Linked DNA regions of Mus musculus. The protein of the gene in region 2 binds, or shares a complex with, the protein of the main gene of each other region. Links are inferred from orthologs where the notes say so. Each region holds a gene or a part of one and is shown on either strand. Other genes may lie near its edges. The genes, in order: Myo7b and Cdhr2.

The links.
Region 1: Cdhr2 (region 2) and Myo7b share a complex: the UniProt entries of both Homo sapiens proteins name them as parts of the IMAC/intermicrovillar adhesion complex. The link is inferred for Mus musculus from reciprocal best matches to the Homo sapiens genes CDHR2 and MYO7B.

Annotation. Positions count from the first base shown.
Region 1 is NC_000084.6:31,970,709-31,974,514, forward strand, and holds part of Myo7b (unconventional myosin-VIIb), read right to left. Parts: intron 3,501-3,806; coding exon 3,273-3,500; intron 2,285-3,272; coding exon 2,117-2,284; intron 947-2,116; coding exon 829-946; intron 740-828; coding exon 613-739; intron 1-612. UniProt on the Homo sapiens protein: Myosins are actin-based motor molecules with ATPase activity. Their highly divergent tails are presumed to bind to membranous compartments, which would be moved relative to actin filaments.
Region 2 is NC_000079.6:54,700,255-54,704,548, reverse strand, and holds the start of Cdhr2 (cadherin-related family member 2 precursor), read right to left. Parts: upstream 3,087-4,294; 5' UTR 2,980-3,086; intron 1-2,979. UniProt on the Homo sapiens protein: Intermicrovillar adhesion molecule that forms, via its extracellular domain, calcium-dependent heterophilic complexes with CDHR5 on adjacent microvilli. Thereby, controls the packing of microvilli at the apical membrane of epithelial cells.

The DNA.
Region 1 (3,806 bases), on a different chromosome or scaffold from region 2:
GAGAGTGTGATACCCTCTCTCTCCCTTACAACCCCCTAATGCTAGAAAGGACAGAACAAAGGATAGAGGGGAAAGGGGCGACATTACTGTTAGACTACTTCCTGTTGACAGAGGTGTGAGTTCCTTGGTGAAAGTTTGGTTTTCTCTGTCAGCATATCGAATTTCTTCCTCTTGTTGTTTCGCCTTTGATCATGCCCACTTATCAAACTATGACCAACAGCAACCAACCACCAACCAGCAACCCATACCACCTCTTGAGAACCCAGCATTTATGTACCCTCTGAAAAGTCCCCAGAATTCCAAACGTCTCACAATTGCAGAAATTATCTGCAGCTGGCAAAATCACGCCCCTGATAAAGCATGAGGCAAGTCATAATCAGCGGCTGTGAATTGTTTAAAGCGGCCCCATGTCCTACACTTGGGATTAAAATGCAGACGTATTCTTATACAGTTTCTGTTTTTTCAAAGAAGCCGCAGATTCACCCTGCACTTGTGCTTGCTCCACTTATCCTGCTACTGCTGACTCGTGAGCCCCTCCTCATGTCTGTCCTTGAGTTCCACATCCACCTAAGCCAAGGTCTCAGGTTGAGAAGTAAAAGACTTGAGTTTTACCTGTTGGCGACCAGACCCATGACCTCTGCGAAGGACAACCCCAGCAGTGTCCTCTCCTTCTGATCCAGGAAGTACATCCCCTTCCAGTTAATGGCTAAAACCAGCTGCGTCTTGGGAAGGCGGGGACCTGGCCAGAAGGCAACCCCAGACTGAAGGCCATGCTGATCACCATGAGAACCCTGTCCTCCCCAACCACACAGCACCACATGCTCTTACCAGAGAGTGTGGTGACTTCAAATAGCCGGGAGAAGAGCAGGGGCCACAGAAGACGGGCAGCCTCCACTGTCTGCTCCCTCACCGCCAGTGGCGTGGCTTTCGACTGGGTATACTGGGCCTATATAGAGTGGAAAAGCCCGGGCTGCATATGGAAGGATGAAGGACAACCTCCAACATTGGCCCTCACCTTCCATCTTGATTGACAGATGGTCTCTCTCTCTGTCTCTGTCTCTCTCTGTGTCTCTGTGTCTCTGTCTCTGTCTCTGTCTCTGTCCCTTCTCTGTCTCTCTGTCTCTGTCTCTCTCTTATTTTTTGAGACAGGGTTTCTCTGTGTAGCCCCGGCTGTCCTGGAACTCATCCTGTAGACCAGGCTGGCCTCGAACTCAGAAATCTGCCTGCCTCTGGCCTCCCAAGTGCTGAGATTAAAGGCGTGCACCTCCGCTGCCCAGCATGACACATGGTCTCTTGTTGCTCACTATTGCTGTGCCAGGCTAGCTGGCTCCCAGGATTCTATCAATCCTCCTGTTCCTGCCTCCATCTCTCTGAAGGTACACATCGGGACTGCACAGGCGTGTGCTACCCCACCCAGCACTTCATGGGTTCTGGTGATTTGAACTCAGGGTGTCAGCCCTGCGCAGCAAGCTCTTTACCAACCAAGCCATCTCTACACTTCTCTCATCCTTATATTTCTTCCCTTTGCCTGGCTCGCCCTTTCCCTTCCTCACATGTCCCACATCCACTGGGCTGTGCCTAAAATGGCCTCAAGTTTTCTTTCTCTGTTGGACCAAATGCCATTTCTCATCTCTACATTCATGTGCTGACTTTAGGCATGGAAATGAACACAGCAGATATGAAGGGTGATTTGGCCATCTGCCACATGTACCAAACACTTAGGACGTGTACACGGTGACCTAAGATTTCCATGTGCCCACTGAGGGGACACTGAAAGGCTTGGAGGTGAGCATGAAGGGAAGAAATGATGAGCCTGTGCCAGGCCACAGAACTGTCAGAATTCAGCAGCTGTGGAGCCTCAGGCCCTGGAAAAAGGCCAGCTAGGTGCCGCTGGGCAGAGCAGTTTGGGACCAAGAGGCCTATGCAGAGGGAGGGCAGGTGACAGGAACCTGTGCTGATGTGCTGAGCTGAAGGAGACACTTTGTCCCTTGCATCAGGGATGTGCCTTTTAAGGCTTCCTGGTCCCTGGCACATGGGAGACTCATGGGGGAAGGGACCCATTCCTCTCATCACCCCTCAGAGTGGACCCAGAGTGCCCAGCCTGCCACAGACTGACCTTGGCATGGGCAGCGGTGACAAGGCTAGCCCACTTCTCTGGAGACTTGGTCCGGTACAGTTTGGAGGGAACACAGCTGGGCAACAGCTCCTGGACAGCGTTACTCTTCACCGTGGCCCCAAGCTGCACATAGCAGTGCCGGGCCAGCAGCTCCACAAGCTCCTCCTCCTGTGTGCCAGGGACAGCGGGAGCATAAGAGGGGTGAGTAAGGGCCCACAAGGTCTTCCCACGAGGCAGCTCCTGCCTCAGAGCAGTGGGGCTCACCAGCCTCTCACACAAGGAAGGAGGCAGGAGCAGCCTCCTGTCCTAACCTCTCCCCTACACTGCTGCTCTAGGAGGGGCAAAGTCCTCCCATGCCAAAAACACAGTGGCTGCCCCATTCAGGCAGACGGCTGAAATGGCTGTGGCTGTTAGGGTCCCAAGACACAGCCTCCTGATGTGGCATGTGGTGTTTGCACCTGGTGCCACATAGTCACAGAGCACCCTGTTGTTAGAGCTCTTTGTGCATCCCAGATGTGAGTGACCCCGAGGGTCCTCTTCTTCCTTCCCTTCTCATCTCCTCCCCTCTTCTTTCTCCATGTTCTTCCTCCTCTTTCCCCTCTTTTCCCTCCTTCTCCCTCCCCCCAACCCCTAGAATAAGCCTCATGTATCTCAGACTGGCCTCAAACTCCCTATATATCCAAGGATAACCTTAAACTTATGCTCTTCTTGCCTCCCAGTTGCTGGCATTACAGGGGTTCGCTACCAGGTTCAGTTTATACAGTACGAGGGATCGAACCCAGGCTATCATCATTCAGCTTCGAGGCTACATTCCTGATCCCCAGGATACACTGCTCTATGAGCAGCTGGTGTGGGAGGTCAGGGAGCCTGGGACAAGTAGGGGGGCCTTTTCTGCCTGATGCTGTGGGTGCCAAGGATCCCAGATGCCCAAGCAAACCTGCAACCCAGAGGAGGAAGAAGGCGGCCAGGCCTGGGAGAGATGTCTGTGCCCAGTGTTGGCTCCATGCCTGCACCCTTGTATCTACCTTTCCATCCATCCTTCCTCAGGCTCCTGTCTGCCACATTCTTTATTACTTCCATTGCCACGTAGCCCCTATACTGCAAAGCATCCTGATGGCCACAGTCTAGGAATGGGGCAACTCGCAGGGCTCCTCACCTTCTCAAAGTTATACTCGCCAGACCACACCCCACGGAGGACTTGGTGGTAAATGAGCTCAGTGCTCACAGGGTCCTCCTGGGAGTCATGCCAGGGGGTGAAGAACTCCTTCCGGAAGTAGATACGCCAGGGGGCCTGCCGCTGGCTCTCTCCCCTCTCTCGGGCCAGTTGCTCACACTGGGCCACAGCATCCATCAAATGGTCACAGCCGCTGCCCAAGGACCAGAACTGAGAATTGGGGGCAGGAGGGATTAACAGCTGCGATATGCCACGCCCCAACACAGACATCTATCCTTAACATCGTATGAGGAAGACAGGGACCATAGTGCCCTGTGTGGGCCAAGAAGCCACTCCTGAGTCCAGTCGGACACCAAAATGCTTCTTTCTTTCTCTTCATGTTTTGTGTGTGTGTGTGTGTGTGTGTGTGTGTGTGTGTGTGTGTGTGTTTGTGGAGGTCACAGGTGGATGGCAAATCTTCCCTAATTGCTTTCCATCTCTGTTTCCGAGATGGGATCTCTCATTGAACCTAGAACT
Region 2 (4,294 bases):
CATTCCTCCCCCTCCTCCCCTTCTTCCTCTCCCTCCTCTCCTCCCTCTCTCCCCCACCTCTCTCTCTCCCCCCCCACTTTCTTACACACACACACACACACACACACTTCTCCCCGAGGTTACACAGAACCCCCAGTGAGGTGCAGCTGAGGGAAAAGAAAACCAACTGGAACCTTCATTCGCCATGGCCCCTTGGGGGCTCCACTCAAGCCCCCTTCTCTGTCCCCTCACACTTCCCCTCCTGTCCTCCTGGTGTGCCTCAGATGATAGTGCCCCACACCTGCACACTCACATGCCACCCCTGTGAAGTCACTATCTCCTGGAAAGGGGAGATGGCTTACACATTCCTTTTTACCTATGGGGACCCTTACACCTCCAGGAAGCTGGGTCTTCTATCTAGCTGTCACAGGGTCATGCCTGACTCATACCTAGAACTCCTTTTGATCCTCCTTCCTATACTGTATGAGTTGACCCCGAGTTTCACAGTCTTGTCCCCTTTGTCACTGACTTTTCACAAACATACTCACTGACCATAATGAGGCCAAAGTTCTGCACTTGGCAGCAGCAGTATCTCCCAGACTCCATCACTTAAGAAAAATGTGTTATGAGATAGGAAAGTACCAGGTGACCAGCCTTACCTCTATAGGCACAGGCACTCTCAAGACCAGACCCGTGCAAGGCTCAGACTGGCTGTGGGCCATACTTCCCACCCTTGGCAAGACAAATTCTTAGGGGACCCAGGTTTCACCTTCCAAGAGTGGATCCCTTTTCCTCTGTGGTATCCAGTACACACACACACACAGTACACACACACACACACACACACACACACACACACACACACACCCTGCGTTCTCTTTACCCTAGATTTGCATGTGTCTCTTCAGCCCCAAAGGCCCTCTTGTGTCCCTTGCCCATGTGCAAATTCTCTCTGTCCTTCAAGACTCACAGCCAGAGCCGCTGAGCTCCAGTCAGGGAACATATGCTACAGGTCATATGGAAGAAGGGAGGCCATGTGCCCAGGCACTGGAGCTGGGCGAACGTCCCCTAGGTGCCCTTTTCTCCTATGGAGGACCACAAGTCAAACATAGGCTCATGTGAGACACCACTGATGCCAGCTCCCAACCACTCTACTTCTTTAAATGATGGGAAACTGGGCCTGGAGCCCAGCCAGTATCCCAGTGCTCAGCAGAGAGGAGGCCCTCTGGTTCTATATAAGGCTGAGCTGTATTGAGAGACCCGTAAAAGGAAAGAGAAGCAAGGAGGGAGGGAGAAGAAGATAGGGATAGTGGAGAAAGATGAAAGAAAGAACAGATCTAGAACCTAGAAATCCCAGGTCCTTGCTCCCAGGCTCCCAGCCCACTGGTTTGGGGCTGGACAGGAGGCTCTCTACCACAGAGAGCATGGTAGCTGTGAAGGACACACCCTGGAATGTGGAGATGGTCTGCTGGACTCTATCAATATGTTCAATTACTTTGTGTCAGTTAAAAACAAAACTGCACAGCTATTCACCTATAAAGTGTCTGAGGAAAAGTCAGGAGCATAGGGGCTCCAGATCACTCTACGGACCCCCAGACCCAGGTCATGCTCTGCCAGGCCTGACACAGCAGGGGTTTCCTCTCTCTTGTCTCAGCGGACACATTGGCCGCAGTTCGACAAGACTCCAGGAAACCAAAGACTCTACAATTCAGTCGACTGGATGTGAAGACCCCAGGACATCTTGGAAGGCTACAGAGGAAGGGAGCCCTCCCCTGCTAAAGGCTCAGCCACGGGCGGGCTCGCTAACCCCACAGCCACCCCACCCTGCCTCAGCCTCCACAGCTCCCTGAGCCCTTCCTTTCGCTTCTGCTTCCTTCCCACAGCTGCCTCACAGGAAGGAAGCAGCTACCTCACAGTTACTCTCCATTGCCCTAAGAAAACAGAGATCAGATCAGAGGGACAGTCAACAACAAAGATAGAAGGTCAATCACCAGCTGCAGGCAAGGCTAGACCCAGGTACCATTCTGCTGAGCCTAACAAAGGTCTCTCCTAATTCCACCAGCCCAGCCAAGTGATCCAGCTCCCCAAGATACGGACCCAGGGACCTTTAAGTTTCCAGGGATACCGGGCTTCCTGTAGCCAGAGATGGTGCCCGCCCTCCTGGCTGCTTCCTCTGAGAGACGGGTATGGATCAGGCCCCAAGTTAGGATTTTAGCATTTCACATACTGTCTGTCCAGCACTGGGCGAGCCTCCCTTGTCCTCAGCTTTGGTTTTCCTCTGAGGAATGAGGTGAGAGCAGGCTATGGCCTAGGCTGGTCAGGGGAATGTCATTATTCTCTGATATGCTACCTGGGACCAGTCAGCATGTAAGTCCTGTTTGAAGACACAAGCTGGCCTGGCTGAGTCTTTACCCTGTGACCAGGACAAGGACTAAGTTAGGGTTGGGACCAGCATCGTTAGTCCTCCCTGAGGTGACCTAGCGTTTGATCTCTGAGTCTGAGAGGGACAGCCTCCGTACCCTGCCATATCTGATTCACGAGCCCTCCAGGGGCTACTAGTACTGTGCCCACTCCACAGACGCAAAGACTGAGGCCCAAAAGCAGTCAGCAGCTCACTCAAAGTCTGCATGGAGCTGAATGAAGATCTGAGCCTGGCGGAGTGGAGCCAGCCTTTCCTCCTCAGGCTCCGGGACAGATTCAGCCATCTTCCTCATCTTCTCCTTTTAGGTAACAGATGAGGTAGCCAATTCACTTCTCAGGGACTTAGGAAGGCAAACAGGAGGTTGCCACTGCCTAGAGAGGAGATCTTACCCTACATTCTAGAAGAAACAGGCTTCACGGGTAGCTTCATCAATTCCCGCCCTCCCCATGACAAGTAGCTAACGCCACAGCTAGCTCTTCCCCTTGGTGTTCCCTCCATACTCCAGATGCCAGGAAACTGAGTCTGAAAGAACTCAAAGTTTGCCTCAATCCCAAGGACAGCCCCCCACCCAGGCTTACCCTCGGGCTAAGAGCCCCCCCAGAAGCAGCTGATCTGGACAGCCCCTGGAAGGGGCCCAGAGGCAGTGATGTACACCAGTCACAGGTGGGCGCCGTCTGGGGCCGGCAGAACACAGCGCAGACTTTGGCACCATCTCCACCTCTTCTGAGCAATCATTAACCATGCAGAGACCACACCTCCTCAGAAGGCACTGGCTGTGACCAGAGCAGGCAAAACCCTGGAGGAATAGGCAGGCCCAGTGACAGAGAAGGGGCAAATGCCCAGCCCAGGGTCTCACTGCAAGCAAGAGGTGGTGACAGTCAGAGGTCATGTCAGGACCTTCTGTCCTCTCCTGGCTCATCTTCAGTGGGGACCTGTAGAGAAAGCGGTGTGGGGAGATCTCTTGGGATGAAGAGACTTGACAGCTATCAAGCCCTTGAGCCCTCAGGCCAAGCCCCGAGGCCGGCATGAAGGGGTACCCACCCTGCAGTTCCAACAAGGCCTTTTCAGCCCTGTATTTGTCCCCTCTAAGCAGGACATCAAAGGGCAGGGCCAACACTGGGCATAGTGGCATATGTCCTTAATCCCAGCACTCAGAAGACAGAGGCAGGTGGATCCCTGTGAGTACCAGGCCTAGCTGGTCTCTATAACCAGTTTTAAACCAGACATAATAAGATGTTATCTCAAAGAAACAAAAACAAGCCAGGCAGTGGTGCCTTTGATCCCAGGACTTGGGAAGTAGAGGCAGGGAGATATCTGAGTTGAGGCCAACCTGGTCTACAGAGCTAGTCCCAGGGCAGCCAGGGCTAGACAGAGAAACCCCGTCTCAAAAAACAAATGAAAACAAAACAAACAAACAAACAAACAAACAAACAAACAAAATCAAAGGGCAGGATCACACACTGCCCCAGGGGCTCCACACACTCCCAGTGGTGGCCTCCCTCGGGGGAACAGGTCCCCAAGTTCATTTCATCTTACCTCATAGTAGGAAGGAGGCCCATGCTGCAGCTCACCAGCCGTGCGCCCCTTCCTGGCTGAGTGGCTGCTGTTCGCTCTGGAGACCGAGGCATCCCTGTGCAATCCTGGTGTGCTGCTGCGGGTTCTCAGGAAGCACCAATCTACCCAAAGAGCTCATGGTTCTGCAAGGTCCCATTGAAGGCTGGCCTCACGTCTCTGAGGAAGGAGGAGAATCTGTATTTGCTGAGCACCTAGTGTGGGCATGTATTTTTCACAACCTACTTCCATAAGGGTTCAACCTCCCCTCTAGCCCACCACCCACCAGAGGTAGTAGGAAAGTTTATTAGAATATGGGGAAGTGAGTGGGCATGTTAGCAC